3 linked regions of the Canis lupus familiaris genome follow. The protein of the gene in region 3 interacts with the protein of the main gene of each other region in a pairwise test. Links are inferred from orthologs where the notes say so. Each region holds a gene or a part of one and is shown on either strand. Other genes may lie near its edges.

The links.
Region 1: the proteins of SPRY2 (region 3) and HSD3B7 interact in binary tests that used the Homo sapiens proteins (3 or more experiments, as listed by UniProt). The two-hybrid records come from large-scale screens. The link is inferred for Canis lupus familiaris from reciprocal best matches to the Homo sapiens genes SPRY2 and HSD3B7.
Region 2: the proteins of SPRY2 (region 3) and ZDHHC17 interact in binary tests that used the Homo sapiens proteins (3 or more experiments, as listed by UniProt). The link is inferred for Canis lupus familiaris from reciprocal best matches to the Homo sapiens genes SPRY2 and ZDHHC17.

Annotation. Positions count from the first base shown.
Region 1 is NC_049227.1:17,382,051-17,388,830, forward strand, and holds HSD3B7 (3 beta-hydroxysteroid dehydrogenase type 7), read right to left. Parts: upstream 4,221-6,780; 5' UTR 4,067-4,220; intron 3,691-4,066; 5' UTR 3,689-3,690; coding exon 3,523-3,688; intron 3,309-3,522; coding exon 3,153-3,308; intron 2,880-3,152; coding exon 2,771-2,879; intron 2,487-2,770; coding exon 2,387-2,486; intron 2,213-2,386; coding exon 2,050-2,212; intron 1,549-2,049; coding exon 1,133-1,548; 3' UTR 552-1,132; downstream 1-551. Other genes in the region: histone-lysine N-methyltransferase SETD1A, read right to left, coding at 5,270-5,443, 5,543-5,680. UniProt on the Homo sapiens protein: The 3-beta-HSD enzymatic system plays a crucial role in the biosynthesis of all classes of hormonal steroids. HSD VII is active against four 7-alpha-hydroxylated sterols. Does not metabolize several different C(19/21) steroids as substrates.
Region 2 is NC_049236.1:19,761,259-19,768,038, reverse strand, and holds the start of ZDHHC17 (palmitoyltransferase ZDHHC17), read right to left. Parts: upstream 4,307-6,780; 5' UTR 4,247-4,306; coding exon 4,154-4,246; intron 1-4,153. UniProt on the Homo sapiens protein: Palmitoyltransferase that catalyzes the addition of palmitate onto various protein substrates and is involved in a variety of cellular processes.
Region 3 is NC_049243.1:33,465,346-33,472,125, reverse strand, and holds the start of SPRY2 (protein sprouty homolog 2), read left to right. Parts: upstream 1-2,909; 5' UTR 2,910-3,336; intron 3,337-6,245; 5' UTR 6,246-6,296; coding exon 6,297-6,780.

The sequences.
Region 1 (6,780 bases), on a different chromosome or scaffold from region 3:
TGTGTTCTATGCATTCACCCTGTCCCCCCAGCCCGCCCCGCAGAGGACAAGATGGGTGGCCCCCGGCTCCCTTCTCCCCCTGCCCCTGCCCGCTGTGCAGCCGTGTGCGTTGGCGTGTGTTTCCGTGTCGCTGGCGTGTCACGTGATGTAGCCGTGTTTGCTGACATGAGCCCTTGCCCCTTCTGTTTCTCCGTTGGTTTCTAGAGCTCTTTCCTTTTCCTCCCCGAGGGGACAGGACTCCTGGGGCCTGGCTGGGGGCCCAGAGCCAGGCCTCCCTCTCCTGTTAGCCCTCAGAGTCCCATTTCTCTCTATTGGTGACCAAGTTGCAAATGGATAAAACACAGGAAAATTCTGCCCCCCCCCCACCCCACCCTGCATGTCCTGTCCCCAGAGCCCCCCACCCCCACCCCGGGCCGGGTCGGGCCCCGTGGGACGGGAGAAATAGCAACCAATCCAACAGCGGGCGTGCTGTGTGGTCACTTCCTTCTGTCGCCGTGTGGGACAGGCGCCGTGGGGAGGGGGAGACGTGGTGGGAGACAAAGCCGGACAGGTGGATAGACCCAAGCTGGGTGAGGAGCTTTAATCCAGGGCTCGGCCAGGTATAGCATTCCTGGGGCAGATCCCTCAGGCAGAGCTCTGACAATATTATAGGAACAAATTTGGGTGGACGGGTGGGAAGAAGGGAAAGTACACGGATTTGCTTAGGCTTCACAGGAAAGAGAGCTGTCCGAAGGTAATAAAAATTTTAAAATAATGGGATGCTGACCGCCAAGGAGGGCCAAAGGTGGTGGGAGGAGCCACAAAGCAACTTCAGTCCAAATGCAGGCCCAAGGGTCCTGCCTGGACGTCAGAAGGCCAGCATGAAGCCCGTGGAACTCTTCACTTCCTGCTTGAAAAGCCAGAAAGGGACGGGGCAGGTGGGAACATTAGGGGAATCAGACATTTGCCAAACCCTGCCCTAGAACTCAGAGGTACCGGGACCAAACCCACAGCTCGCTCCCGTGGATTAAAGATGTGGAGGGCTGTGGGCGCGTCAGTGTGGTGCCAGACGCCCCTCCAGCGCTAGGAGGCAGGCCTCCCTCCTTGCCCAGGGTTTGAGGGCTCGGGGGGCCTCCCTCTCCCTGCTCCACCGTCACCGGGCCGAGCCCTCCATGGCCTGCACCCAGCGGATGGTGCGGGTCCGGCTGTCCTCCCACGAGAACAGGGGCTCATAGCCGAAGTGGCGCCGAGCCTTGTCGGTGTTCACAGTGAAGGCGGTGTTGGCCACAGCCAGCGTGTAGGGGTTGAGCAGGGGTGCATAGAGAAGCAGCGGCCGCAGCAGCCACTGCAGCAGGGCGTTGAGAGCAGCCAGAAGCATCAACAGCCAGTAGGGCACCAGCGGGCGGGTCTCCACCAGCCGCAGTCCGCAGGGGCCCAGGAACTCCATGTTGAAGTCCTCATAGCTCTTATAGGGCGACTGGTCATAGCAGAAGTACACCTGGCCGCCCATCAGGGCAGCTCGCTGCTGCAGCTCTCGAGCCACCAACACGTGCATCCAGGCCACGTTGCCTGTCAGCGGGGGAAGGGGGGCAGATGTGGCCCTGAGTGCCCTGGAGGCTGTGGAGACCCTGTGCTCTCCTGAGCCAGCCCGTGTCCAAGCTGCCCCTTCTTGGGGCTCACGTAGGTGTGCCTGTGAACCAGGGCCCTGGTGAAGGCTGCTTCCTCCCCAGGCCCTGTGGCCACTTGCTCTCCTGGGCCAGCCTGTGTGGATGCTGCTACTTCTGTTGGTCCTGTGTAGATGCTGCCCCTCACCTCTCCTGGAGAGATGCTGTTCTCATAACCAGTTGGCCTGTGATGTGTTTTTTATGTTAGCCTTCCCAACTCACACAGCTGGTGTGTCCTCCGTGGCCATGCAGATAATACCCGAGTATCCGGCTACTCTGGCCCATGTGTGGCTCTCCCTTTGCTAGCCGGGGCACACACTGCCCACCCAGGACTACGTGGGTCCTGCCCCGTTCTCAGCCTTCCCCGCCACCCCACCCCCCCTCCACAGTGTAGCCCGGGCCTTACCCACATAGACCCGGCCATGCTCCACAGAGGCAGGGATGGTCCGGAAGAGTCGACCCCCCAGACGAAGGCCCTGGTGGTAGAAGTCCCTCATGATCTGGTGGCCTTCACCGTAGATGCCAGTGGGACGCAGGGCGCATGTCACCAGGGGCAGCCCCCCATGGACCTGGGGGCAAGAGGTAGGCATAGCTAAGACCTAGGACCCAGCGGCCTGCCCTCTGCCCTGGCCTCCCGAAATCGATGATTGGGGCAGGATGTAAAGTAGTCCCTCTGGCCTCGGCTCTGCCTCTGACTAGCAGCCCTGCCCACCACGTCTTTGTCTCTTCGCCTCCTGTCTCACCTTCCTTCCATTGGCTTCCAGGACCAGCCGCTCAGCTTGGGCCTTGCTGCAAGGATAGGGGTGCCTGTGTACTGCTTCATATGGGGTGTCCTCATTGCCCCTAGTTGAGGAAGAGGAAAATTCTTTTTTTTTTTTTTTAAGATTTTATTTATTAATTCATGAGAGACACACACAGAGAGAGAGACAGAGGCAGAGAGACAGGTAGAGGGATAAGCAGGCTCCATGCAGGGAGCCCGACGTGGGACTCGATCCCGGGGCTCCAGGATCAGGCCCCGGGCTAAAGGCAGCGCTAAACCACTAAACCACCCAGGCTGCCCAAGAAGGAAAATTCTTAATGCTGAGGGGAGATGGGGCTCTCAAGTACTGGGGGGAAACTAAGCTTACCTGTAGAAGTGGTGGCCTTTAATGTTGGGCCCCACAACTTCCATGCTGCTCGTGTAGACTAAGAACCGTGTTCCAGTCTGCACACAAGCCTCAATCACGTTCTTTGTGCCTGGGAGAGGTGGCAGGGAGGGAAAGAGTGATGTGCAGTGAGGGAAAGACTGAAGCTAAAACTTCCTCCCTCGCAGCATCTTTCCCACCCCCCATCTCCACTCTGGATGAGGGCCCGTGGCTTCCTTCCCCAGGTCCAAGGAAAACTACAGCAGGTCAGTGAGGGTAGCCAAATTGCCATTACAGGGGCAGGAGTGTCCAGAGGACAGGTTTTCACAAGAGAATCCCAGAAGTCAAGGTCAAAGAGGGGGTAGGGAACAAATAGCCACCTCACCCTGCACGTTGACCTCATAGATGGTCTCAGGGCTGGCCCTCCCAAACACATCCACCAGCCCGGCTGTGTGGATGACTACGTGGGCTCCAGCCACAGCCGCTGCCACCTCGTGGGCTTGGGTCACATCCCCCTGGATGGCAGTCACCTGCACAGGCCCTGGGAAGGATAGGAGAGGCAGCCAGAAGCAATGTCTTGAGCTGGGGCCGCTGGCCAGCTGCTGGGTTCAGCCTACACCCTTAGGAGCCACATATTCCCAAAGTGACTCATTCATCCCATCCATGGGCGCGGAAGTTATAAACAGGCATCATCTTTTCCACCACGGCAAAGGGAGTCCGCCCACCCCACTCCTTCCCTCCCCACTGTGATTTACCTGTCTTCAGCTCCTCCAGCCAGGCACCCAGGTGCAGGTCAAAGACCCGCAGCTCTAAGAGCCGGGGTTCCCGCTGCAGAAGCATCCGCACCACATGCTCCCCCAGGAAGCCGCAGCCACCTGTGACCAGGTACACCAGCTCCCGGACCTCTGTGGAGTCTGCCATGCCTGGCTCGGGAAGAGAACCTGAGTTACCTGCCACCACCCACCCAGCGCCAGCAGCACACCTGCGACCCTGAGATGGGGCCTCTGGCCTAGGGGACGGGAGCCGAGACACAGGGGCCAGAGTGGCTCCCAAAAGCTGGGGCTGTGGCACAGCAGCTAGGCTACCACCTGTCTTCTGACCCTGCCAGCTGCAGCTACTGCGACTGAAAGGGTGAGGGATTGGCGTTTTAGGAAGGGCTCAGGGGTTGAGCTGGAGGGGAAGGTTCCAAGACAAAAATGGAGGGTAGGAGGTGAAGGGTTGAAGAGGAAGGGAGAGGGAGATGGGAAGGGCTGTGACTAGGGAAGGGGACCTGGGAGCCCTGGCATCACCTCTGCCTACCTGCAGCCACGGTCCCGAGATACTCAAACTGCCCACCGGAGGGGCCGTCTTCTTTCGGAGCCCCAGCGGTCGGCCAACACACCGTCCCCTTCCGCTTGCTCCTCCTCCCTCCTGGCCCATTCCAGGAACAGACACCAGCCCAGCCTCCACCCCTCCGTCCCCTGAGCTCTTGCCATAGGGCGCCCCCTGGCGGCCACTCTGCGCTCCGCGGGCGTCTGCTTCCGGCAAAGAACTTGGGGAATACGGCCCGGGGAAGCCAGAACACGCTGGGTGGGCAGAGGATGGGACAGGTGGGATGACCTCACTCCCACCTCATGACGTCAATCCTTCCCCTTTGCTGGATTTCCCAAGATACCAGAAGCCCAGCAGCGGCTGTGGTTCTGGGAAGGGAAGGGAGGCTGACCTTGGCCCAGCTCTGGCTGACCTTGGTGGGGGATTTCTGGATGACTATTCCAGACTAATAGGTGACCCAGAGCAATGGTGGTTGAGTCTGCAGGTCTACCCACCCAACCTGCAGGCCACCCATTTCCCCTTCTCTTCACTTGCAACCAATCCTCTGTCCTGAACCCCCAACCCCCCGCCACCCACCTACTCTTCCCCAAAGATACTGACCAAGCACTTTTGTACAATAAAGTTTAATCACAATTATAAAAATGTGGCGTTGGGTTTGCGCTATTAACATATGTACAATCCAGCCCAATAGGAAGGGCCCACCCCCCATCATCCTGGTCTGGCAGAGCAGAAGCTTCCAGGAACCAGGGTGGGAGGGTGACCCACAGGGTCTGGCAGGAACAGAAGATGAGGCAGGGTTCCAGGCACGGAGTCCCTAGGACTGGGGGCACAGGGCACCCCCCCCAGGGGGAGAACATGGCCGCTGCCCCTAGAGACCCCTGAACTGGGGAGGGGTGCACGCAGGGCACAAAGGGGAAGTCCCCATTAACACAAAGCAAGGGGGCTATGCAGCCCCCCAAGAACAGGATCTGTACAGGCCGGCACCCCAGGTTTCCACAGGAAACAGCTGCTGGCAGCTACAAAACATTTACAGCTTCTTCTCCGCAAAGAAAAAAAAGTTAGGAGGTGGGTGGGCAGGGGCGACAGGGGAGGCAGGAGTTACCTCCGGGGACTGAGGCTCCCTCACTGGGCTTAGGGCTCCCCAGACCCCAGGGAAATAAATAGAGGCGCGGGCGCCGGTCCCGCCCCACCTCAGTTGAGGGAGCCCCGGCAGCTCTCGGTGCCGCACAGACACGGGATCTTGTTGTCCTCCAGAGGGAACTTGTAGTCGTACGTGATCTCCTCGTCCACACCAATCGGCTGCTTGGAGTAAATCACGATCTTCTTCTGGGACTCGATGGTGATCACCTTGGCATAGCAGTTGGGCTGTAGGAGGGGAGGGCCATGTGAGCTTACGCCCTTGGTCCTGGAGTCTCCGCCCCACCCTGAGCACCTCCCACCCCGTTCCCCCACCCCCCTGCGCACCGTGCAGCAGTGGTTGATGAACCGCGCCAGGTTGCCGCACTTGGTAGCGTCGATGATGGTGTCATGGTCTACCCGGAACAGGTAGCTGCTGCCAATACCCTCCTGCACGTAGCGCTTCTCCCGCATGTCAGCCACCATCTGGTAGGACGGGGTGCCGTCCCAGTCAGCTTCCTGCCAGACTGGGCCTGACCCCACCAGCCCCAGTGAAGGGGACCCGCTTGGCCTTCCAGCTACCACCCTGGGGTGGGTGGCACATTGACCTGTCTTGGTGAGCAGCTCCTCCTCTGGCTCCCACCCACCCAAGGAGTCAACCACCTGCTTCCAAGGGCCCCCTCCTCAAGGTTCCCCCCACACCGACACCTTTGGCTGCCACTTTAAGTCTCCCAAAGGGGATCTCAGGAAAATGTGCCGGGCTCAGTGGGCTTGAGCAGCAGCCACTGGCTCCTCCTGGAGCCTCTGCCTGGCCCATGGTGGAGCCCCCAGCCTCCTGTGAAGCCATGCTGGTTCCTGATGTGACATGGTCATTTTGGGGCCCGAACCCTATTCGTCTCTTCTCCCAGGACCCTCTGTCCAAGACAGGCACCCCCAGGCTGCCACTTGATGCCCTCAAGGTCCACATTCTTGTGTGAGGAGGAGTGATTCCTATTTCCCAGAACATGGCATGATAAACCCTCTGTGCTCTCTCCTTGGGGTGATCTCATTCTCTTCCAGGGCTTCAACTGCCAGATAAGTGGTGGGGCCTCCTCCCAAACTTCCATCTCCAGCCAAAATCCACCTCAATGGAGCTGCTAGGCGTCAATTTCTAGATGTCCCTGGGGCCCTGCAGCTTTACAGGCCCTGACTGGAACTCCTCTCCACCACACAGCTGCTTCTCCTCCTCACCCCCCTCACCAGCAGCCCAAGAAATGGCCTCCCCTCTTTCCCTCCCCTACTCTCTAGAGCCAACTTGCTGCTCAGTGCTGCCAGCTGCCTTGGACCCACAGACTCCTGTTACCTTGGCTGCCACTGCCTAGTCTGGGTCCCCTGGGCCTCTGCTGGGATCTCTGTGACCGCACCCCCACTTGTCCCCGCCTCTGGCTGTCCCTTCACACTGCAGCCAGAGGGAGCCTACTGACTGCAAAGCCTGTCACTGCTGGGCACTTGGCCATGGCTTCCCTCCCCTTATCACTGGCCCCAGCTCAACAACACAGCTTCTAAGCACCTAAGGTCCACGAAGTGTGGCCTCCACCTGCCTCTCT
Region 2 (6,780 bases), on a different chromosome or scaffold from region 3:
GGCAATCCAGTTCAAAGCTGAGTCAGATCTTGCTGAAACACAGAGCCCCTATAATAATACTCTGGCAAAAGGAGGTATTGTGGCCTCATTCTATGAAAGAGCTAGGACGGCTTACTGAGGATACACCAGCGGATGAAACATAAGAGCGGTGATACCAAGTCCACGGGATTGTAGACCAACATATGGTCTCTCTCTCTGTTGAAGTCATTCTTCTAACCATTCTAGGTGACAGAAATCTGACACTGCTTATAGGCTAATCAATTCAGCATTTATTTGGTTTCTGTTAAGTGTTTCACATGTGTATACATTCCAAATTAGATCATTAACTTCTGGAAAGCAGAAGATATCTTACTTATTTTATTTTCATCCATATAACTTAGGACAGTGCTATGCATGTAGAAGATAGATGCTCAAACCTACTGATTCTGAAAAATCACAACATACAATTACAACAGTAGAGTTTAAAAAAATCTTAAAAGATCTAGTCTAGCCTCTTTATGTTCTGTTTTTGTTGTTGTTGTTGTTGTTGTTTTAAGTAGGCTCCACACCCAGTACAGAGCCCAACGCAGGGCTCAAACTCACAACTCTGAGATCATGACCTGAGCTGAGATCAAGAGTCCGACGCTTAATGACCTCAGCCACTCAGGCGCCCCTAGCCTCTCTATCTTAAAAGCAAAGAAACTAAGAGTAGTTAAATGTCCAACAGCCTAAAGTCACAGAGCTAGGATTAGCACCCTAATCCCAGGATAATCAGTTCAACTTTTTCCAAATAGCTCTAATTTCTTCCATTATAATAAAATGAATAATCACCTATTTCATCAGAAAGCAAAGTAATAGCACCAGTATTCACTACATGCTAGGGCTTTCAGAAGGTCAGAGTTGTTGGCAGACCACCTGCTGTGGTCTGGGATGGCTACTCTATAAACATTGATAAACATTTATAAACATTATTTTTTTACTTAATATTCACAATAAGCACTATAAGGAGTAACAACCCAGTTTTACAAATGTAAATTTACCATAATAACAGCAAGTGCAGAACCCAGATTTTGTTACCAGTGGCTCTCAACCACATCCTATTCTGCTTCTCGTTGAATTAAACACGAAAATCCCAAAGTGCCAAGAGCCCAGCACAGTACCTGACCCAAACAAAATAAACAAATGTTTAAAAGACTCACTAAATTAATGGATCGTTTGATTAATTAAAAAGTAAGTTTTCTCACAGTAAATACCTCTAAAATAAAAAAAAAAAAATTAAAAAAAGGTTTCCCTGTTCAGCTAATTACATAATCCCGAGAAAGGTTTTAATAGTGAGCAGTATGCATACTAAGAGCAGATTTAAGGAATGGCTAATTTCTTTATCCTACAAATAATTCATCTGTTCAACAAATATTAAGTGAAAAACTATTTTTGTGACACAGTGTTAAATCTGAAGTAAAATAAAACTTGCTCCTACAATATTCTATTCCATAAATTAAAACCCACACAAGTCTCTAAACCATTTGCCAAAACCAAAACACACGTGTAACATCTCCCTCCTGGTAGAGGAAAAAGAAATAACACTAAGTGAACACCTACAATGTGCCAGTTCTTAATCCTCAACATACAGTCTCGCCTGATCCCTTATAACCAAGTGAACTAGGCCACATCTGCATTTCTGATTAACAAATTCAGGCTTTAAGAGATTAAGTACTGGACGCTTGGGGGGCTCAGTGATTGAGCATCTGCCTTGGGCCCAGGGTGTGACCGCAGGGTCCTGGGATGGAGTTTCTGGGATGAAGTCCCACACTGGGCTCCCTGCAGGTAGCCTGCTTCTCCCTCTGCCTGTGTCTCTCATGAACAAATAACAAATCTTTAAAAAAAAAAAAAAAGAGAGAGAGAGAGAGAGATTAAGTACTTGTCTCAAGTCCTTTGGCTAATTAATTACTACAAATAACAGAACTGGAACCCAAGTCTCCTACAGTTGTTAAAAGTCTTATTATTTTATTTGCCCACCAAGGCAGAGAACAGGTTTCTTTCTGAGACCAAAAGCTGCTTGTTTTAACAACAACAACAAAAGAATACATTATCACGATCCTCATAATAGCCTATTAGTTATTGTCACTTCATACCATAAATACAAATGATGAAGCTAGAACTCAGAGGAGTCTGCCCAAGAACATAGTGCAAGGAAGCAGAACTTTACCAGGTCTGCACCAGGTGTGCATGCAACACTGGAAACCACAGCGTTAAGACTCAAAACATCTAAAGTAGTTGGGCCTTGTGTTTGCCAGATGAAAAAGAATGGCAGATCTCATATCAACTTCTACTTGCAGTGTGCGGAAGGAGAAGCCGATGTTCTCATAACGTTCTTTTAAGTGGCAACCCGAAGACTGGGCTCTCCATTCCAAGCCTACAGGCCACTTCATTACTACCAGCAACAGCGCTAGGGATCTGTTATCAGTTACAATTACTCCTAAAGTGCCAAACAATGTACCACGCCACACACCAACGGTTCACTGAAAGAACACTATGTCAGAATACATAAAATCAACATCTCAGTATTTAAGACTTTCACTGAGAAGACATGAACAGACCTATTCCTTGGCAACATTTTCGAGTCATCATCTGAGAACTTTATGCCCTGGTGTATTTTTTAAGGCCTAAGTGTGAACTAAAAGAAAGGGCATGTCCTATGGCAGCTCCAAAGATGTTACTACTGGGGATCCCTGGGTGACGGCTCGGCGGTTTGGCGCCTGCCTTTGGCCCAGGGCGTGATCCTGGAGACCTGGGATTGAGTCCCATGTCGGGCTCCCTGCATGGAGCCTGCTTCTCCCTCTGCCTGTGTCTCTGCCTCTGTGTGTGTCTCTCATGAATAAATAAATAAAATCCTTAACAAAAAATAAATAAAAATGTCACTACCTTGGTCGCAAAGACTTACTGTACAGCTCTGTTTCTCAGAAATCCTGAGGAGCCCTTTCTGGTTGAGAGCAGCTCAAGCATCTTCCTAAAGAACTGTCCCATCTGCTTCTAGTAAATCAAAGTGATGAATAAGACGGTGGTTGGGTGTTAATACGCGGCACTCTGAGTGTGTGTGTGTGTGTGTCCACGTTTCACTGGGCGACGCAGGCTGGAAGCCCCAACCCCGAGGTCAGCAGAACCATCCCGCTCCGGGGGAGCCAGGCAGCCGTGCACGTCCGTCGCCGCCACCGCACCCTGGAGGCCGTGGTCCCGCCTTCATCCCGCAGAGACCGCGGGAGCCCGGAGCTCCCTCCGAGCTGCCCCGAGGGCCCCGAGCCCGCAGCGGGAGCAAGGCCAGGCCATGCACGGCCCCGACCCCGACCCCGACCCGGGCGGCCGAGCTGCACCGGAGGCCTCGAGCCTGCAGCGGCAGCCAGGCCAGAAGGCCCGGGGTCGTGCACCAACCCCCTCCAGCGCACAGACCCGCCCCGACCCGGGCGGCCGAGCAGCACCGGAGGCCCCAAGCCTGCAGCGAGAGCCACGCCGGCGGGCCGGGGACCGTGCACCCCCCGCCCCCAGACCCCGACCCGGGGACGAGCTGCCCCGGAGGTCCCGAGCCCGGGGCCGTGCACCCCCCCTCCCCCCCGTCCAGCGCACAGACCCGCCCCGCCGCCAGACCGCGACCGGAGGCCCAGAGCCTGCAGCCGGAGCCTGGCCAGCGGGCCCGGGGCCGTGCACCGCCCCCTGCCCCCGCCTCCAGACCGCGACCCGGCGGCCGAGCTGCCCGGAGGCCCCGAGCCCGCAGCTGCAGCCAGGCCGGCGGACCCCGAGCCGTGCCCCCCGCCCGCCGCCAGACCCCGGGGGCCGAGCCCGCAGCGGGAGCCCCCCCAGCCCCGCCCGCCGCGAGCGCCCGCCTTCCCCCCGAAAGTTGCGACCTGTGCCCGCGGCCGCGTCCAGCACGGACGCCCGCCCCGGAAGCGCCCCCGCGGCCCGCACGGCGCCGAGCAGCGCTGCCCCCCGCGCCCCGCGCCCCGGGCCGCCCAGCCGCCGCCGCCCCGTTATCCGCTCGCAGCCGCGGCCGCGCTCGGGCCTGCCCGCCTGTCCGCGCCCCGCAGCCCCCGCACGGCCCCGGGCCCCGCCGCAGCCCTCCGCGCGTCCCGGGGGGACCGGCGCCCGCGGCCCGGGGCTGGGGCGGCTCCGGGCGGCCCCTCACCTCCGGGTGCAGCAGGGGCACGCAGCCCGCCTCGGCGTCGTACTCGTCCGGGCCGTCCGCCATCTTGGTGTTAAATCCCTGCGCCCGCTGCATGCCGGGAGAAAGCGGTTCCCCCCGGCGGGGCTCGGGCGCGGCGAGGGCACGCGCGAGGGCGAGCCGCGGCCCCCGCGCACCCCCCTGCGCCCCCCCCGCCTCCCTCGGGGGCGGGGGTCCCTGTGCGCGTGCGCGCGGGGCGGGGCGGGGGGAGCGGGGGAGGAGGCTGTGCGCGTGCGCGGCGCGGCCCCGAGACCCCGCGGCTGCAGCAGCGCGGCTGGGGCCTGGGAGGCCTGCTGGTCGTTGCCCGTGCGGCCCTGCACCCCCGCCGGGACGGCCTCCCGCGATGCACCCTCGGGGGCGCCCGGAGCAACGGGTGAGGCCTGGGGCCCGGGAGACGGCCCGGCCGGACCTCGTTGGTCTTCAATTAGCAGTAATTACATCAAAAACGTACACCCTCGAGGCCCACGCCCCCCCCCCCCACCTGCTGCATGTTAATGTAACCCGGGGGCTGAGAACCCACGTCGTTAAAACGGAATTCGCTGAAATTCGAACCGGATAAAAGGACCTAGGGCGTCTTTAAGCGCATATTAGGGCTGTAGGAATCGGGGCGGGGGGGGGGGGGGGGAGTGGCTCCTACAAATGTGCTAAAACAACAGGCCTACAACACATGCCTCTTTGATTTTGCTATTATTAAAAATTGTATTTTTTTTGCTATTATTAAAAATTGTAGCCCTAAGCTGCTCAGAGGAGGATGCAGCAGAGATCGCCAAAAAAATTGTTTGTTTTTTTTTTTGCTATTATTAAAAATTGTAGCCCTAAGCTGCTCAGAGGAGGATGCAGCAGAGACCGCCAGGACGATGCGTTAGAGATCCCGACAGCAGCCTGCCTCCCGAGCAAGCGCATCAGCCAGGAGCAGCCGCCGGGTAAGGTCGGGAGGGAGGGCCCAGGGAGGCGAGGGTCAGGGGCCTGCCCTCAGGCTGAGGCTCCCGCCAAGGGGAGCTGCAGGGTCTGCAGACGGCGGGGCGCAGCGCTGCATCCGACGCTCCCTGGGAAGCCGGGCCCGGAAAAGCGGGGAGCGACCGGGCATTGGATGCTCTCAAGAGGAGTCTGCTGTTCCTTCACGGGGTGCTCCCAGAAATGCATGAAGATAGCTAAATAGCAGATATTAGCTCCTGGAAATGCTGCATAGCTAACGGTCGAGGCATCATTCATAAGAGGGAGAGGCGGGCACAGCTCTTCACAGCTGCTGCACGGCCGGTGGGAAGAGCAAGGTCCTCTGCTGACTTTGCAGCTGGCTTACCTGCCTCCGTCCTCCCGGCAGCGCTGCTCTCGGTCTCCTCTCAGTCTGAGCTCATTTGCATCATTTTGGTCCCACCCCAAACCAAGGATTTGGGTTTGACTCTTTCACCCAGCCTGCAGAACTACACAGAATTAGGGTTCTCTCCCTTTGGAGCTCCAAACTGCTTTTAGATGCATTTTAACATAGAATTTTCTTTAAAACAAACAAACAAAAAAAAAGGATTTTATTTATTTATCCATGAGAGACACAGAGAGAGAGAGGCAGAGGGAGAAGCAGGCTCCCTGCAGGGAGCCAGAGGCAGCACTCAATCCCAGGACCCCAGGGATCACGCCCTAGGCTGGAGGCCGTGTGAAACCGATGAGCCACACGGGCTGCCCTAAAGTAGAATTTTCACTTCAACAATTCAATTTTCATCTTGCTCCTCCTTACCCTTATGTCATACATTTACTGGAAAGAGACAATGGGAGTAAAGAAAAGCAACAGTTGGGAGATGGGGTAAAGAAGATACTGAATTGTTGGGGGGTGACGGAGACACAAGGCATAGATAGCAGGCAAGAATGTTTTGCAGGTGCCCATGTGTTAGGAACATTGGGGTGTATGAGCTTACAAAAAATGAGGATGTTTAGCCTTCCCAGGACGCCTAGGCTCACAGGGGTCCCTAAATGGAAGGCTCAGTGGTCAAATTCAGCCACCAAAATGTTTCATTTGGCCTACATGGTAGTTTTCCAAATATTTTTGAAGTAGATACCAAAATTCAATAAATCAGGAGATTTCACTTTAAAATCTAGATTTCTAGGGTAGTCCAGGTGGCTCAGCGGTTTAGCGCTGCCTTCAGCCCAGGGCGTGATTGTGGAGACCTGGGATCAAGTCCCATGTCAGGATCCCTGCATGGAGCCTGCTTCTCCCTCTGCCTGTGTCTCTGCCTCTCTCTCTCTCTCTCTCTCTCTCTGTGTGTGTGTGTGTCTCTCATGAATAAATAAATAAAAATCTTTTTTTAAAAAAAATAAATATATATATAAAATCTAGATTCCTAGTTTAGCTGGAAAACATGAGAGATCTGGGCTTCCTTGCTTGGTCTCTACTGGGCTCATAGGCCTACATCACTCATCATCATTGCCTGGCTGCCATAGATGCTTTTATTTGTGACTTCCGGGAATTCTACAACATGGACAAAACACTAAAAGTGAATGAAAAGTTAAAGCAACTCAACTGGACTCCATATCTGCCTTGCTCACTGCTGTATGACTGAAAACAATACTTATTGAATGAAAGAAAGGAAGGAAGGAAGGAA
Region 3 (6,780 bases):
GCATTTCTCTCTGGGATTATAACGCATTAAGTAACATTTGGAGCACAATATATTGTTCTATACATTTACATCTGAAAAAAAAATAATTTCACTAAATAAAATAAACGATAAAGACGGAGTCACGAAGGACCCAGCAGGTTCTTGTTTTTATCTGGTGCTCGAGGTATAGGTTACATGCTCTTCCAGTCAGCAGGCTGGAGGCTGTGAGGACAGGAAGGAAGAGCTAAATTACATGGGATTCTAACTCAGGAAAGAGAAGTATACATTCCTAGGTTCTTGCCCATCGACTCAATAAAAATAAGGCGCTCTGACTAGCCGGAAGCTCCTCATTTAAATTCCCAGTTTATGCTTTGATTCAGAACAGTGTGTCTCCGCAAAGTTCCTGCGGGGCTGGGAGGGAAACGCGGGCACCAGTGTCTCCGAAGGAGCAGCCGCTGGGTGCAGGGGTTTGAGAAGACGGAGAGAAGGCGTGTCCTCCACCTGCCGCGCCCGGGACCTGCCGCCCTCCTGCGGGCAGCGAGCTCCCCACCAGCCGCGCACACCTGGCCTCGGCCCCCACCTCCTCCCCATTGCGCAGCGCCGGGGTTCTCTCGAGCCTCGGGACCTCCTCTCGGATTCCAAACGGAATGCGTCCCAGGAGGTGGCAGGGCAAGCTGGCTGTCCTCGATCATCGTGAACCAGCCGGCCTAATGCACACTTGAAGCTCCCCGGCCTGAACTCGCCCGGTCCTGGGGTGGATAGGAGGCCGCCCGGGCCCCGACCCCGCGCCGGGCGGGCGCCCCCTGGTGGCCGCACGGGCCGTAAACGCAGCGGCGCCCGCGTTCACCCCGAAGCTCAAAGGACCTGGGCGTCGGGCGAGCTGCCCGGGCCGGGGAGAGGCCGGGTAGTTAGTCCCTTGCCCTCAGCCCCAGGGACACGCCGGAGCGGGCCGACCTAGCCTCGTGCACCCTCACCGAGGGGTGGGGGGTGGGGGGCGGGGGGCGTAGGCCAACACCCGGAAATCACGCATGCCACTTCCCCTGCCATCTCTTGTTCCAAACCCAGGGCGAGTGGGGAGAGCCCTAGAGAAACATGGAGAAGGCAGGGCGAGAGCGCAGCGCGGCGGGGAGCGCGCCCGGGGCGGTCTAGACACGGCAGCGAGTGCCGGAGTAGCTGCAAACGGGTGTGAGCTGGAGCTGCCCCCGGTTCTGCAGAAGAAGGCAGCGCGCCTTCCCCGCGCTATTGCAAGAACCCTCACCCCGCACGAGGGCAGGTGCTGTTCGGGAGGCTTGGCCGTACTTCCCTGCAAAGTGGAAACAGTCCGTAAATTATTAGAATCCAGGAGCATCAGGAGTGTGTGTGTGTGTGTGTGTGTGTTGGGGGGGGGGTCATTTCCCACCGGTGCGCCCACGTGCAAGCACGTTTCTTAAGTAAATGAACGGCAGTTAGAGCCCTGCGTACCTACGCGTTTTCTATCTTATTTCTCCTTTTTTTTTTTTTTTTTTAAAGTGGGAGCATACAGACCACCTTCGAAACGTACAAAAACAGGAGCTTCTTGGGAAATGCTCTAGGTGACAAGGGCGAGTCAGAAATGACGGCGGCCTTTTGGCTAAGCGGAGGGACTCTGCCGGGAACAGCGAGCCCCGGACCGTTTCAGGAGCCCGGCGTGTCGACCTTGAGTCCCCGTGTAGGTGATTAACGAATTTTTAAAAAGGCTCCGACCGCAGAGTTCCCTTCAGCTAGTGCGTCCAACAGCAGATCTTCCATCGCTTAGCTAAGTCTCCGTGGAATAAATACATACATACATACATACATGAATAATAAATAAATAAATAAATAAATAAATAAATAAATAAATAAATAAATAAATAAAATCCGACACTAAACTGAAAACTACAGAGTGAGTCCATCAATGGCCAGTCTCGGTCGGGGCACAAAGTGCTGGAGCCCCGAAGCTGCATTCCGCGCCTCCGGTCCGCGGCTGCGAGGCGGGGGAGGCGGCTTGCGCTGGTGCCTGGTGTATAATCGGGTTAATCCAGGAGACAAAGAATAAACCAACAGCCCTCCCACCTCACTTCCCGCTCCCCTTCCCCTCCCCCCGCTCCTCTCCGCGTCGCCCCCTCGAGGGGGAACCGAAAAGGGGAGAGAGGTGGGCCGGAGAGCGGATCCCGAGGAAACTCTCAGAACCTGCACCTCGTTGTTTTCGTGCCAGCACAGCACTGCGTGGCCCGGGTCGGGCTTGGCCGTTCCCTTCCCCTCCCCCTTTCCCAGGGGCGAGGAGAAAGTGCCCCAGGTCGGGTCCGAGCCCGCGGCTCGTCCTCGCGGCCTCCGGGGAAACCTTCGGGTCGGGGTTTCCGTGCAACTAGGCAGAGTGAGCCGCCGTGCCCGGCGCGGCCCCGCGGGCGCCCCGCGCGCCGGCGCCCGGGCGGCAGGACCGGCCTGGGGACGCGCGGGGCGGCGCGGTTGCCCTTTTGAATGCCTCCTGCGGCTCGGAGCGCTGGCGGGCGCTGAAGTGTGAGTGAATGTAGCCCCGCGGAGCCAATGAGCTGGGACCGGATGCGATATATCCTCTGGGACAACAACTGCTCTGTTCCGCCTCGGATCCACATGACGCCATTTACTGCTGCCGCGGCCGCCGCAGAGCTCGCTGCCTCCGGAAAGACGAGGGCGCAGGCCAACGGCGAGCCCCCCCGGCCGGGCCCCAGACCCGCCCCCCCCGCCCCCCCGCCCCCCCGCCCCCCGCGCCCCCGCCGCCCCCGCCTCGGCCTCGCCGCCGCGCCTCCACAACGCCCAGTCTGCAGCGCTGAGAGCCGCGCGGCGCAGCGCGAGCCGAGCAGAGGGGCCGGCGGAGCGCGCAGCGCCCAGGCCCCCGCGCCCGCGCCCGCGCCCGCCCGGCCCGGCCCGCGCCCCCGCGCCGCCTCCGCCTCCGCCTCCGCCTCCGCCTCCGCCTCCGCCCGGCCGCCGCCGCACCGCTTGGCCATCTGGCTTTAGACTCTCTCCGAGGCGGCTTTCTTTTTCCCCTTCGCTCGTCCGCCGGGAAAGGAGACTAGCCGTTGGCGCTTCGGCCTCCAGTTCATTGAGAAAAAGGAAATACTCCGCGTGCGTTTCTAGAAGGGGGGTCGCCCCCAGCCGCGAGCCCCGGAGTGAGTGCTTGCTGCTCATCGGCTGGGGACTTGGCTCCGGATTTTCCTCTCCTTTTTTTTCCTCCCGCCGATTGCTCGGAACTTGGAGCGAAGCAGAGTTTGGAAAGAAGGCGGGGGGGAGGGGGGGGAGTTTGCATCGGGGCTGGATTTTATTTGCACATCGCAGGAGGCAGCGAATCCAACGGAGAGGGGTTGGTGCAAAGCCGCGATCACGGTGAGGCACGTTTGGCTCTTCCCCTCCTGGCGCCTTGGCCGGCGCGTTGTGGGCAACATGGAGTAGGTGCAGCCGGACCCGGAGAGGGGTCCGTCTCCACTCAGGCCTCCGTTTCTCCAGCCCCGCAGGTTCCCGGCGGGGACCCCGGGGAGCTGCCCGGCCCCGGGCCCGGCCTGGCTCGGCGGGGGCTGCAGCGCGCGGGGTCGGGCGTCCGCAGCCCCAGGACCCCAGGCGCCCGCGCTCTGGGGGGTTGGGGCGGCCGCGGAGTCGGCGCGGAGAGCGGGAGACGGAGGCGGAACACTTTGTGTGTTCCAGGTCCCCGCCGTAGGCGCCCGCATTTCTAACCTGTTCTTGGGGGGGGGGGGCAAGCCCTGGGCGACAGGGTCCCGGGGCAGGGGCGCCAGCGGGACGGAGGGCGCGCGAGTCGCTCGCCTCCGGGGGCAGCGGGAGCCGCCGGTGAAGCCTGGGCAGGGGCCGGGGCCGGGGCCGGGGCCGGGGAGGGGGGCCGGGCCGGGCCGGGTGCGAGCGTCCCCCTGCCGGGCGCCGGGGCTGCGGTTCGGAAGTGCAGCTTTCTCCTTTTTCCGTTCTCCGCGGTCGGCCTGGGTCACACTTGTTTTATTTTTGGAAGATTGGGCGGACCTAGCACAGGAAGAAAGTCCTCGAGCGGTCGCTATCGTTTTCCATTACCTGAAAATAGGTGGCAAAAGAGGTTAGGGTTTTTGGTTTTTTGGTTTTTTGTTTTTTTTAATTTACTTTGATGGGCTGATCTACTTTTTTGTTGCTGTTGCTGCTGCTGCTGCTGCTGCTGCCTTGAATTCGGAATCTTGTGCGTTTTTACCAAGCGGTTTCTGGGTCTGCCCCACCCTCGTGCTGAAGTCCTTGCCCCTTAGTCCTTAAGTCCGATCACACACTTCTTCATGGGGGTTTCTGAGCACTTTCGGGGTGGGGGGTAGGGGAGCGAGGGGGGTGGGCGGCGGGTGCTCTGGGTGCGAAGGAGGCTAGGAATGGGCAGTGATCATTTTCGATTAAACACACACACACACACACACACGCACACACACACCACCACCCCTTTCAAAGATGCTGCTCTGCACTGCGAGCAAATCTTGGCGGAAAGTTTCCAGCCTAGGGATCTGCGTCCTGCACGCCCTGTGCAGTGGGGCCCTGGGACTTGACCTTTCTTTAAAAAGCAACTTTCCTTTCACTTTTTTCTCTCCGCCGGAAAGGAGATGGGGTGTGCAGACTGCAGCCGGTGCCCCCTGGGTCAGTGCCTGGTAGAGTCGCCCAGGGTGCGTGGCTTGTGTGCTCGGTCCCGGCAGCGTGTCTAAGGCATGGCTTTCGGCGCCAGGGCTTGAACCCTGTGCCGGACGTTCGCTGGCCTTTGCCAGGTGGACCTGCAAGTGGGCTGCGGGACCTCTGGGTGCCTGGGGCCGGGGTGGCTCCCTCCTGGAGCTGGAAGGCAGTTCTCTGGAGTGGGGGGTATGTTAGCCTGGAGGTGGGGGGGGGAGTGTGCCCCGGCGTTTGCAGGCACGTCCCCTTCGGAGGCGCCCGCACACCCCACCCCCGCCCCCGCCCCCGCCTTCTAGTGCGTCTTGAGGTTGTGTGCTGGGGGGAGGGCAGCTTGGCCTCTGGGCTGTGTCAGTCTCCCCGGGGAAACGTCCCCCGGGGCTCCGACTGTGTCCCACCTGCTGGGGACGGTGTTGGGACGCAGATAGAGCCGATACACGGAGTGAAAGCAAAGATCGACGTTGTCTTGTCTGCCTTTCTGTTGGGAGATCCGGTTTCCAGCTCTACCTTCTTCCGAGTTGGGAGGCGTGTGTCACCTGCCTGTGTCTCTTAACAAAAATCGGAGACTGGATAAAGGTCCACTTTTGCCCGTTTTTGTTCATTGTAGACTTGGCAAAGGGGTGTGTGTGTGTGTGTGTGTGTGTGTGTATGATAGTTGTGAAATTTACAGAGGGATTGCAATTTAAGTGATTACACGTCAGAATGATAGATTTGAGACGTGACAAGAATTTTTGAAACCCTTCCTGTTATCCCCAGTCAGTTCAGGTTCTGAACTATTAGGATTTTTGACATAATTTATTTCTAAAACCGGGAGAACAGTCTTTTACAGTCTTTTAGCTGCAGAATTAAAGATACTCTCTCAGGCTATCAAACTGTAAAGTATTTGATCCTCAGGTTGTTGAGCATTTGAAAATAAGTTTCTGTCTTGTTGCTGGTTGGTTTGTGTTCCTGGCACACCTAACAGGATTTGAATGGATTTGTGTTTCATTTAAAACTTTTGCTACTATATAGTTAATAATGTTTGACTGTTGTAAAATTTGTAACTTCCTTGGAGGGGCGAAGTATTTGCTTTTTTGCAAGTCGCATTCATTCTACGGTATTCTAAAAAGCTGCAGAATACTGGATGAATTATAGTTAAAGGTATTTGATGTAAAAGCAGACAAGAAAGACTTTCTATTTCTAGGCTGCATTTATTGCTGTTTAAGGCAAAAATGCCCACGACAAAGTTAAACCTATCTCAGATTTTGAAAAAGTTTTCAACTTTCGCATATGTTGGCAGCAGTGTTCTGTTCTAACGTTATATTCCTGCAGCCTTCACATTGAACATGAACCTTGCAATTTTATGTTTATTTGAATAAGGAATCGTTACCTATGTGATTGAACCAAGATCAGCTTTGTGTCTCTACACATCGCAAGATTAAAGAATCGTCAGTACCCGGCTTTAATTTTTTTACTTTTTGGTGTGGCGTTGATCCTATGGCTCTTCCACCACCCTCCGTGAGCAACTCCCATTTCAAATCCTGTCTCTCTGGGGGAATGGAAAGGAAAGAGTTAATTCAGGTGGGCGGAGAGTGGGAAGTATCCTGGAGTGTAAACCAGCTCTTTCCTCTTGGTTTCTGCAGGAATTCAGATGTGTTCTAAGCCCGCTGGAGTGACCACACTTCCAAGACCTGATGGAGGCCAGAGCTCAGAGCGGCAGCGGGTCGCAGTCCTTGCTGCAGGCACCCCGTGACGTTGGCAGGCAGCGTGGGGAGCCTGACCCCAGGGATGCCCTCACCCAGCAGGTACACGTGTTGTCTCTGGATCAGATCAGAGCCATCCGAAACACCAATGAGTACACGGAGGGGCCTACTGTGGTCCCGAGACCTGGGCTCAAGCCTGCTCCTCGCCCCTCCACTCAGCACAAACACGAGAGGCTCCACGGTCTGCCCGAGCACCGCCAGCCTCCCAGGTTCCAGCACCCACAGGCCCATTCTTCTGCACGAGTCCCTCTGTCCAGGTCCATCAGCACAGTCAGCTCCGGCTCTCGGAGCAGTACAAGGACAAGTACCAGCAGCAGTTCCTCTGAACAGAGACTCTTAGGACCATCTTTCTCCTCGGGGCCTGTTGCTGATGGGATAATCCGTGTGCAGCCCAAATCGGAGCTCAAGCCAGGTG